Saccharomyces cerevisiae S288C: one gene and its partners. The gene in region 1 interacts genetically with each later gene. Each region holds a gene or a part of one and is shown in the gene's direction. Other genes may lie near its edges.

Evidence for each region.
Region 2: of TGL4 (region 1) and ATG15, changing one suppresses a phenotype caused by changing the other (phenotypic suppression), as found in Saccharomyces cerevisiae (one study listed by BioGRID).
Region 3: mutations in TGL4 (region 1) and GPM3 together harm fitness more than expected from each alone (negative genetic interaction), as found in Saccharomyces cerevisiae (2 studies listed by BioGRID).

Annotation. Positions count from the first base shown.
Region 1 is NC_001143.9:605,109-610,105, reverse strand, and holds TGL4 (triacylglycerol lipase), read left to right. Parts: upstream 1-1,740; coding exon 1,741-4,473; downstream 4,474-4,997. Other genes in the region: PXL1 (Pxl1p), read right to left, coding at 1-1,160; TVP38 (Tvp38p), read left to right, coding at 4,688-4,997. UniProt on the Saccharomyces cerevisiae protein: Lipid particle-localized triacylglycerol (TAG) lipase. The lipid droplet/particle is a lipid storage compartment which serves as a depot of energy and building blocks for membrane lipid biosynthesis.
Region 2 is NC_001135.5:235,653-239,375, forward strand, and holds ATG15 (triglyceride lipase ATG15), read left to right. Parts: upstream 1-1,561; coding exon 1,562-3,124; downstream 3,125-3,723. Other genes in the region: GTPase-activating protein SED4, read right to left, coding at 1-670; peptidylprolyl isomerase family protein CPR4, read left to right, coding at 3,403-3,723. UniProt on the Saccharomyces cerevisiae protein: Lipase which is essential for lysis of subvacuolar cytoplasm to vacuole targeted bodies and intravacuolar autophagic bodies. Involved in the lysis of intravacuolar multivesicular body (MVB) vesicles.
Region 3 is NC_001147.6:221,227-224,679, forward strand, and holds GPM3 (phosphoglycerate mutase family protein GPM3), read left to right. Parts: upstream 1-2,041; coding exon 2,042-2,953; downstream 2,954-3,453. Other genes in the region: YOL057W (dipeptidyl-peptidase III), read left to right, coding at 1-1,676; THI20 (trifunctional hydroxymethylpyrimidine kinase/phosphomethylpyrimidine kinase/thiaminase), read right to left, coding at 3,194-3,453. UniProt on the Saccharomyces cerevisiae protein: Could be non-functional.

The DNA of each region.
Region 1 (4,997 bases):
TTTCTAGATAGGGAAACATCGTCTAATTGAGCAATCAATTGTTCGACTTGGAGGTTCGTAGCAGTGTATGGTGTTTCCACGTTTTCTGAAGAAGTTATTGAAAGACGTTTCTCATTTAACCCATCAAGACTTAAATCTTCAACTTTTGTTGACGATGATGACACACCAGGTGATTTCTGTTCCTTTGAAGATTCCAGGCCAGAAAAGTTATCATCAGGATATATTTTAGAGTCTAGTGCGTTCATGGTTAAAGATGGTGTATTACTTTCCCTCGTAACATTAATTTCCGGAATTTTAGGTTCTGTATTCTTTTCCTCTTGTTTTGCTTCTGGAAAATCATCTTGAAGTGGTTCATTTTCAAGATTCATCTGTAGTTTAGGATCTGGTTCAAAATTTAGGCTTTCAATATCATTCTCATCCTCCTGCTGTCCTTCACTTTCATATTCGATTGAACTTTCCTCTTTTTGCTGTTCTTTTCCGAGTTTTTGGTCGAGCACACCTCTGTTATCGGTTTGGTTCATAGAATTTACAACGCTTGCAGTGTCATTTTGAGTCAGCATCATGAAACTTCTTTCAATAGGGCTCAAATCTTGTTCCCTTTCAGTATTACCAGCATCTTCTTGTTCGAAGTTGAAGGGGAAGTTATCTGCGGCTTGGAATTCCTTGTTAGCAGGTGATTTACATGTATGCCTAGAGGCAGCATATTGTTCCGCCTGACGGTCTAAGTCGCGTTCAAAACGGAAGGGATCCTCTTGCGAAGCACGCTCGCTGGGCCTGGAAATAGAACGAGATATGTCACTGGGTCTCGAAGACGTAAAATTGCTATTCTTTGGAGGAGTTACACTCCGCCTCTCGCTATTCTCCAATACGGGAGGCGGATAAATGTCAGACTCGCCCTTTACAGATGAATAAGCACTCTTTGAAGACGCCGTATACGCACTCTTCATCGTGACCGGAACAGATGGGGCGGCAGATACATTTCTTTGACGGGTTATTGGCGGCGACTTCACGGAAGCTTGTAAACTTCCAGTGGAAGCATTCCTCTGACTACTGAACGGATTACGCGGCTTAGTGTCAAACCCTGCTCTTTCTAGAGCAGTTTTGTAGCGGACCTTCGGATTTATTTTAGGGAAGGGGGACCCGTAGATTGAGTTATACATTGACTTGAGCGTTTCTTTTGCTAAATTTATTCTTGTTTTTCCCCTTACGTTATTCACTATAAGCTTTGAAGAAGCTTGAAAAAAATTCGGCTATAATATCCTATTCTAGCTGTATAAATTAAATATTCAACACAGCAGAAATATATTTTAAGGCTACCTCTTAAATTTGCAACACTCCAGCTTTTCTATTATTATTATTTACTTATTTTTTCATGTTTCCTATTATTCATGGAATTGAAAAAGGACGCGAATTGAAAATTTCGAAAGAAATAGGGCTAGGCGCTTCAAAAAGTCATTAGGTTTACTTACCAATATTAGTAGGTTAAATATTAGAAAAAAGGAAAAAAGATCTTAAGGGGTTTAAAAAAAGTAGGGTAAACTAGGGCTGACATATTACCCCTCTTATACGATAATTGCGACTATGAAACGCTAAACCACAATTATAAAGTATGGTTGATTCAAATTGTCATTATGTCATTATTGTACTCGTAAAAGAGGCCTGTATTCAAGTATTTGATCAAAAAAATTAGCGCTGTAATAATTATTGAAGGGAGTACAGGTATATGTAATAAAAGTCTGAATGAGCAGCAAAATATCAGATCTTACATCTACACAAAATAAGCCCCTCCTTGTTACGCAACAACTAATCGAAAAATATTACGAACAGATCCTGGGCACTTCCCAGAACATAATTCCTATTTTAAATCCGAAGAACAAGTTTATTAGGCCCAGTAAGGATAATTCAGATGTTGAAAGGGTGGAGGAGGATGCTGGTAAAAGACTGCAAACTGGCAAGAACAAAACTACGAACAAAGTAAATTTCAACCTGGATACTGGAAACGAGGATAAACTTGACGATGACCAAGAGACAGTAACAGAAAATGAAAATAATGATATCGAGATGGTTGAGACAGACGAAGGCGAAGATGAAAGGCAAGGGTCATCTTTAGCCAGTAAATGCAAATCATTTCTTTACAACGTTTTTGTGGGAAACTATGAAAGAGACATTCTTATTGACAAAGTCTGTTCACAAAAGCAACATGCGATGTCATTTGAAGAATGGTGTTCTGCGGGCGCCAGATTGGATGACCTCACTGGGAAAACAGAATGGAAGCAGAAATTGGAAAGTCCCTTGTATGATTACAAGCTAATAAAAGATTTAACATCTAGAATGCGTGAGGAGCGCTTGAATAGGAATTACGCTCAATTGTTGTACATCATTAGGACGAATTGGGTACGAAACCTGGGAAATATGGGGAATGTAAACCTATATAGGCACTCCCATGTAGGCACCAAATATTTAATTGACGAGTATATGATGGAGTCTAGGTTAGCGCTAGAATCTTTAATGGAGTCTGATCTTGATGATAGTTACCTTTTGGGTATACTGCAACAAACGAGAAGAAATATTGGTCGTACCGCTTTAGTTCTCAGTGGGGGTGGAACTTTTGGTCTTTTCCACATCGGTGTCCTTGGTACTCTATTTGAATTGGATTTATTACCCAGAGTGATTAGTGGTAGCAGTGCTGGTGCAATTGTAGCAAGCATATTATCTGTCCATCACAAAGAAGAAATTCCGGTTTTACTAAATCATATTTTGGATAAAGAATTCAACATTTTCAAAGACGATAAACAGAAAAGTGAAAGCGAGAATTTGTTAATAAAAATATCTAGGTTCTTCAAAAACGGTACGTGGTTTGATAACAAGCATCTGGTAAATACAATGATAGAATTTTTGGGAGATTTGACATTTAGGGAAGCTTACAATAGAACGGGTAAAATTTTGAATATAACCGTTTCGCCGGCATCTTTATTTGAACAACCGCGCTTGCTGAATAATTTGACTGCACCAAACGTCCTGATTTGGTCCGCCGTATGTGCATCATGTTCACTACCGGGAATTTTCCCCTCGAGCCCACTTTACGAAAAAGATCCAAAAACGGGAGAAAGGAAACCATGGACTGGTAGTAGTTCGGTCAAATTTGTCGATGGTTCTGTGGACAATGACTTGCCCATTTCTCGTCTTTCTGAAATGTTTAATGTAGACCATATTATCGCATGCCAGGTGAATATTCACGTATTTCCCTTTTTGAAACTATCACTATCCTGTGTTGGCGGGGAAATTGAGGACGAATTTAGTGCAAGATTAAAGCAAAACTTATCAAGTATATACAATTTTATGGCCAATGAAGCTATTCATATTCTAGAAATTGGAAGTGAGATGGGAATTGCCAAAAACGCGCTTACAAAACTGAGATCGGTATTATCTCAACAATATTCTGGTGACATCACTATTTTGCCCGACATGTGTATGCTTTTTAGAATAAAGGAGCTGTTGTCAAACCCAACAAAAGAATTTTTATTAAGGGAAATCACCAATGGTGCAAAAGCTACGTGGCCCAAGGTTTCCATTATTCAAAATCACTGTGGCCAGGAATTTGCTCTGGATAAGGCGATTTCTTATATCAAAGGTAGGATGATTGTCACCTCCTCTTTAAAAACCCCCTTCCAATTTGCTGATTCAGTCATTGGATTAATTAAAGCTCCAGAGCAAACGTCAGATGAGTCCAAAAACCCAGAAAATTCAACATTGCTAACTAGGACTCCAACCAAGGGTGACAATCATATTTCCAATGTTTTAGATGACAACTTATTAGAATCAGAATCGACAAACTCTTTGCTATTGTTACGTGAGAATGCAAGCACATATGGGCGGTCACCTTCCGGGTTTAGACCGCGGTATTCCATTACGTCCGCTTCTCTCAATCCGCGTCACCAAAGAAGGAAATCAGATACTATTTCAACTTCAAGGCGACCAGCCAAATCCTTTTCATTTTCAGTTGCTTCTCCCACATCAAGGATGTTGAGGCAATCCAGCAAAATCAATGGACACCCACCGCCAATTCTGCAGAAAAAAACAAGTATGGGCCGGCTAATGTTTCCTATGGATGCCAAGACCTATGACCCGGAAAGCCATGAACTTATCCCACATTCTGCCAGCATTGAAACACCTGCCATGGTAGACAAGAAATTGCATTTTGGCCGAAAGAGTAGATACTTGAGGCATATGAACAAAAAATGGGTCAGCAGTAGCAACATATTATACACAGATTCGGATAAAGAAGACCATCCTACATTGAGACTGATAAGTAACTTCGATTCAGACGCAATGATTCATAGTGATTTAGCGGGCAATTTCAGGCGTCATAGCATTGATGGAAGACCCCCTTCTCAAGCTACAAAGAGCTCACCGTTTCGATCGAGGCCTTCTTCTTCAACGCAGCACAAAAGCACCACCAGTTTTACTCAATAAGAAAACACGGGCTTGCTTATATATCCTCTAGATATTCTTTTTCATCTATGTATTTATTCGAATGGCCTTTCTCATTCATATCATTTTCAAAGCGGAAATCGAAATCATTGTTTTCTCTCGAGCTGCACTAAGAAAAAAAGCCACTTTACTAAAACAATACCTTCAACATATTTGAAAATATTATTATGGTGGAAGAAAGATATTGGTTACACAAATGAGTCAGTCTTACGAAGCAGGAAATGCCAATATGGGCCAAGGGGAGGATGATGAATTTGATGGCTATTTCGAAGACTTTGACAACGATATCATGCCAAATAGTAATAATGGACAAAGGGTTGGTACTAATGCTGGATTGTCATTCAATGACGAAGTAAATGTTAATGATGATGATTTTTTAGACATTTATAATATGTCCCCTAGAGAGAGATTGATGCATAATATCAGGAAGAATGTTCAAAAATTACAGTTTTATTTTTATTCACTACGCTTATGGCAACAGATTATCATTGTCCTCCTCGGCATAA
Region 2 (3,723 bases), on another chromosome or scaffold:
TATTGTCATTGAGAAACCTGATATTAGAAAGAACAAGATTTTTATCAAAATCCGTTTTCCTTGCTACAAAATTTCCGTCCCTAACAGACGCTACTTCCAAAGAATTAGAAGTGATATATGACAAAAGAATACCGTTAGGGGCGAAGTGCAAATCATTAACTTCCCTACCCGTTTCAATTTCGTAATTTTCCGTCAAATTACGCGGGTCAATGATTCTTATCACAGTGGGCACTTCAGAGGACGCAATTGCAGCTACTGTGGCCCTTTGATTAATGTAAACAAACTTAGTGAAAACGGATGGGTCTGTAGTTCTGTTGAAATCAATACTGGCCACGAATTTTAGATGTTCTTGTTCAAACACAAACTTCCTCAAGTGGTGGTTAACGTTCTCCATGGAGGAATCATTAAACAGTTCATTGCAACCAACTAGAATCAGGTTATTATTACAATCCAATGAAGTGGGCGCATCGTCAATCGAATCTAATGTGATCTCACGAAACCTTCTAATGTGTTTCTTTTTCTGGAAGTTCACCTTTAAAGCTGTAATTTTGTTTGGAAACGAGGAATTGAACTGGCCTCCACCACCAGCCACCAGTAGAGTGCCTTCATTTATAAATTTAGCACCATATATCGGATATCCGACGTCATAGTTTGCAGAGTTGCCACTCATTATTATGCTAGTTTTTCTAAGTTTAAAAGGAGAGAAAAAAAAGGAAGAGAGGACGTATCGTAGGGAATTGTGATGCTTGTTGACAAACAGCCTCCGTCGATCGAAGCAGCTATAAGCGTAGGTTACTTGAAGCGTTCACAGTTCTCATTTACACTGTACAATTCTCGAGATATAAATGAAAATTACTACAACCAAGAAAAAAGGACAGGAGGGCTAAAAGGATAATAAAATAGGGCAGTTACAAATGTGGTCAAAAATACTAGGGCTCAAAATTGCTAAGTAAGGGCTTGACAGATGTAACATAATACGAAATAAACTGGATATCGTTTAATAATTATCAAGGTGATTTAAATCGTAAATACATAGGCTGGGCCATATACACTAACATGTGTCGTGACCAATGTGCAGCAGATAGACTTGCTCATTAAATATATTCCAGGTAGGATTCTCTAAGGGTTTTTTTTTTTCTCTATAGCTGTCACTTTTTTTTTTTTCTCTTATCAATCACAGATATAATAAGCATAACATCGGAAAGAAAATAATGATAGGGCAAAAGGGAAAGCATTTCCAGTTGAATACAGTATCTCTACTATATTGTTGTTCGCTGAAGACAGCCGTTTCCGGAAAAAAGTGATTGTGTGATCGCAGTTACCCGCACCTTTGTTCAACAGTACATAATAAGAATCTGTAGATATAGATGAACTTTCTCTATTACATAAGACTAGCCTAAAAGCCTTGTTTCTATCATTTAAAGGCTTTTGAGACACTCAAATCAGTGTCAACCTTTTGGATAAGTCAAAGAAAGTACGCCGCTGCTCAGAAAATTGTTATCGTGATTGAGAACTGATCTAGGCATTACAATTAAAGGAAACAAGGGAAATATTCTATTGAATGTTGCATAAAAGCCCTTCAAGAAAGAGATTTGCTTCTCCTTTGCATCTAGGATGCATTCTAACGCTTACAGTGCTCTGCCTTATTGCTTACTACTTTGCTTTACCGGATTATTTATCGGTAGGGAAGAGCTCATCCAGGGGTGCCATGGATCAAAAATCTGATGGAACCTTTAGACTTAAGTCTATCTACAGGCATGGCGTCGGAGCAAACCATCGGCTACACCAGAGGCTGGAGGTCACTCCAGAAGTTATTTCTGCCGCTGGAATGCTGTATCAAGAAACCACAACTCAAGGACAGGATTTCGAAGACCAAGAACCCCTATGGACTACTAATGCCGAATATGCCACCACTAACCCATTCGATTTTGAGTTTGAGCTACGAAGGATGCCGCTATTGATGAAGCGGATGAAGGAAAGAGATCCTGAATTCATAGAGTCGTACATTTACGGAGAAACATACATGACGGAGGAGGAAGAACACGCCATGTGGATAGATGATGACATTGTGGCACCCAATATCACAGATAGAGGTACAGTAGTGTCGTTAGCATTAATGTCGTCTAATGCTTACGTGAGAATACCGCAAACGGGAGACTGGCGTAACGTCACGGAGCCGTGGAATGAAACAGAGCCGGAAGATTTTGGTTGGGATGGTGATGGTATACGTGGTCACGTCTTTTACAATGAAGTGGAGAATATCGTGGTACTCTCGATAAAGGGAACCAGCGCTCAGGGTTTGCCAGGGTCTGGCGAAGATGAGACAACTGGAAACGACAAGATCAACGATAATTTGTTATTTTCGTGTTGTTGTGCAAGAGTGAGCTACCTGTGGACTACCGTGTGCGATTGCTATGTGAAGTCGTATATATGCGATGAGTCTTGCCTGGAAAAGGAACTGAGACGTAAGGATAGATTTTACTCTGCAGTCGTTGACATATACAAAGGCGTCCTCAAAGAATACCCCGATGCGGCCATATGGGTCACAGGCCACTCACTGGGAGGCGCATTGGCCAGTTTACTGGGCCGCACTTTTGGATTGCCTGCGGTCGCATTCGAGTCCCCTGGAGAGCTACTACCTTCAAAAAGACTTCACTTACCATTCCCACCGGGACTTCCCTCATACATGGAGGGTATCTGGCACTTCGGTCACAACGCAGACCCAATCTTCATGGGTACATGCAACGGAGCTAGTTCAAGTTGCTCACTGGTGGGCTACGCTATGGAAACCGCGTGCCACACTGGTAGAGTCTGTGTCTACGATGTGGTCAACGACAAGGGCTGGAGTGTAAACATGTTCAACCACAGAATCCACAAAGTCATTGACGAAGTTCTCCTTGGATACGAGCAGGCTGCCAAGTGCGTTGAACCAGAGCCCTGCGTAGATTGCTACAACTGGAAGTTTATTCCAAGCAGAGACTGGGAATCCTCATCGAGGCTCATTACCAAGACTAAAAGCCACGCTGCACCAACCACGACGACTCGCACCACTGCTACTACTACCTCTTCATCTACCTGTGTAGGCCGCAATTGGCTTGGCTTCTGCACCAAATACGAGTTGTAAGACCCATACATCTATTATGACCCTAGTGTTGTTTTAGGGCCTATGCGCCCTTTTTTTCTTCCATTGTCTGATAAATAATGTATCATTTTGACAACTTAAAGGTTCAGCTAAACGACACGAGAAGATATATTAATACTGCTTTAAAGTGAAAGGCGTCAGTCAGGTGCAATTAATAGGTCACATATTCTTTGCTTCAATTGCTCTCTAGCAAACTCACACACTCGTAGATTGGAAGACCGAAGAAAATAGATAGACTTTCGAATAAGTTCAGCAACAACATGTGGTTGAAATCCTTGCTGCTCTGCCTGTACTCCTTAGTACTCTGCCAAGTCCACGCTGCACCTTCATCAGGGAAGCAGATTACCTCCAAGGATGTTGATCTTCAGAAAAAATATGAGCCCAGTCCCCCCGCCACACATCGTGGAATAATCACTATCGAATACTTTGATCCCGTTTCGAAGTCGATGAAAGAGGCGGATCTGACTTTTGAGTTGTACGGTACTGTCGTGCCCAAAACTGTGAACAACTTTGCTATGCTGGCCCATGGTGTTAAGGCAGTTATCGAAGGGAAAGATCCCAATGATATACATACTTACTCG
Region 3 (3,453 bases), on another chromosome or scaffold:
TCAATGAGCTAATTGATATTGGTATTTACCATGTGGAAGAGAAGGCGGCTCTCTTAGGGTTTCCCTCTCAAGGTTATACTTCAGCCTATTATCTGGGTTTACCTGTGACACCTGAAGATATGGCTCTTTTGAAAGAGCAGTTGTTTGCTGAACTTGCCATCTTGCCTGAAAACACAAGAATCAACAAAGTTGGTGAAAACAGTTTCCAAATCTGGGTTGCCTCTGAGAATGTGAAAAACCAGATAACAGAAACCTACCCCAGTGGACAGATCACATTATCCAATGCTGTAACCAAAGTAGAATTCATTTTTGGTGATCATTCACGTGAAATGCGTTTAGTAGCATCGTATTTAAAGGAAGCTCAAAAATTCGCGGCTAATGATACTCAAAAAGCAATGCTTCAGGAATACATCAACCACTTTGTCACTGGCTCTTCTCAAGCACATAAAGAAGCACAAAAACTTTGGGTCAAAGATATATCTCCCGTCATTGAAACAAATATCGGTTTTATCGAAACATATAGAGAACCCTCGGGCATAATTGGAGAATTTGAATCGTTGGTTGCAATTCAAAACAAAGAACGTACTGCTAAATTTTCCAGCTTGGTTAACAACGCAGAAGAATTCATTTCCTTACTACCATGGTCTAAAGATTACGAAAAACCGATTTTCAATCCACCAGATTTCACCTCTCTAGAAGTATTAACGTTTACTGGATCGGGTATACCAGCGGGCATCAATATTCCAAACTATGATGATGTTCGGCTTAAAATTGGGTTCAAGAATGTTTCTTTGGGGAATATCTTAAGCGCGGCTGCCAAAAGCTCATCCAAGCATCCGCCAAGTTTTATATCGCAAGAAGATCGCCCAATTTTTGAAAAATATCAAAGTGATTCTTTTGAAGTCCAAGTAGGCATCCATGAATTATTAGGACATGGTTCAGGAAAGTTGTTGACAGAATTTACAGACGGCTTTAATTTTGATAAGGAAAACCCTCCTTTAGGTTTGGATGGGAAACCGGTGAGCACATACTACAAAGTTGGTGAAACTTGGGGTTCCAAATTTGGACAGTTAGCTGGCCCATTTGAAGAATGTCGTGCGGAAGTAATTGCCATGTTTTTGCTTACTAATAAGAAGATTCTTGATATTTTTGGTTTCCATGATGTCGAATCTCAAGATAAAGTGATCTACGCTGGATATCTACAAATGGCCCGTGCGGGTCTCCTAGCTTTAGAATACTGGAATCCAAAAACTGGTAAGTGGGGACAACCACACATGCAAGCAAGATTTTCTATCATGAAAACATTTATGAAGCACTCTACAGATAAGAATTTCTTAAAGTTGGAGATGAACAGCACGAATGATGATTTTGCCATCAAGTTGGATAAATCTCTCATTAAAACAGCGGGACATGAATGTGTGAAAGACTATTTAAAGCATTTGCATGTTTACAAATGTTCAGGCGATGTGGAACAGGGAAGTAAGTACTTTATTGATAGATCAACGGTGACACCGGATTTGGCGTCTTTAAGAGACATCGTCTTATCTAAGAGATTGCCAAGGAGACAATTCATACAATCGAATTCTTATATTGACGACAATAACAAGGTAACCCTGAAAGAATATGATGAAACCCCACAGGGTATGCTCCAATCTTTCCTTGATAGAGAATTATGATGTCCTTAAGAGCACACGTTTTAATTAGCAACCTTTGCTGTTGCTTTTGTTCAAGCTATTAGATTATGTAAACAGATATATATTATGTAAGTGTGACAGGATACGACAGCACTAACTGTCAGCGAATTTTGATTTGTTACTTTTGCTAGTTTTGTGTGACTTTCCTTTGTTTTTTAACTTTTTTTTTCAGATTTGTATTATGAGATGATAACAATGCGAGATTTCATTGACAAGTTCGATAAAACAATAGAAGCTTCCATTTTATACATATGTGATAAAACAACCTGCAATCGAGGATTTACAATAAAAGTCTCTTTGAGAGGATTGAGAAATAGTGCAAAAAGATCTACTAATAACGAATAGTTATGACTGTTACTGACACTTTTAAACTGTTTATTTTAAGGCATGGTCAAAGTGAATTAAACTCAGAAAACATATTCTGCGGATGGATTGATGCTCAATTAACGGAAAAAGGGAAGTCTCAGGCCCGCCACTCTGCAAAATTGATCAAGCAGTTTTGCGATTCTAACAATATCTCTTTGCCTCAGATTGGCTATACTTCAAGGTTGATTCGAACTCAGCAGACCATGGACGTTATTCTCGAAGAGTTGGGACTAAAACACACCAATTATGTAATTACTACGAATACAAACATTAAGGAGGAGCTGCAGGACACAAGATTTGAAGGAAGTATGCCTGTGTTGCAAACCTGGAGGTTAAATGAGCGTCATTACGGCGCATGGCAAGGACAAAGAAAGCCAGATATCTTGAAAGAATACGGTAAGGAAAAATACATGTATATCAGAAGAGATTACAACGGAAAACCCCCTAAAGTCAACCTAAACCTGGAAATGGTCCAAGAGGAAAATGATCAGGGGTCCTCCACAGGCTATGATTTTAAGGAGCCCAATAGACACTTAAAATACGGCCCCGAAGAGAAGGCTAATGAGCGTCTGCCAGAAAGTGAGTCTCTTTGTGAAGTGGTCGTCAGATTGAAACCATTTTTAAATAATGTTGTTCTGTCTACCGCCAACAAAATCAGTCAAGAATCGTGTGTTATAGTTGGGCATGGCAGCTCTGTAAGATCTCTGCTGAAAGTATTGGAAGGTATCTCAGATGAAGACATCAAAGATGTCGATATTCCCAACGGCATTCCGCTAGTTATAGAGTTGGATAGAGACAATTACTCTTTTGTGAGGAAATTTTACTTGGATCCAGAATCAGCTAAAGTTAATGCTCAAATGGTTCGTGATGAGGGTTTCGAAAAGAATCCATGAATAGTTTTTAAAAATAAAAAATTAGCGCCATTTTTTTCATGGTTTCCTTTTATATTTCCTTCTTTCTTTATTGATAGAATAATGAGTAACGAAAAGCAGCTAAATAAACGTGTTTAAATTTCTATAAGAAGTTTTTATAGATTGTATAACAAAGAAACTTTTTTCTTATTATTATTTTTTTGTTTTTATAATTCATTATATGTAGGTATATCTTTATCTATTGTGCATAAGCCATCTTATCTACTCGTATTCTAGCGCAGCGGTCCAAAAATTTGTTTCTAATTCACAAACTTCAGCGTAGATTGTTACTAAAGTGTCAAGTTGCTCTGGAGGGTATGTTTCTAAGATGTGGTTCAAAAGTTTTTCACCTTCATCCATGGCTTCACGATACCATGAAGATGCGTAAGTTTCACACCATTCGTGGTAAACGGACCCTTCAGGTGCGGTGACTTTACCCTTCATTTTAGTTAAAGCTTCACCATAACCCATCAAACAAGGAG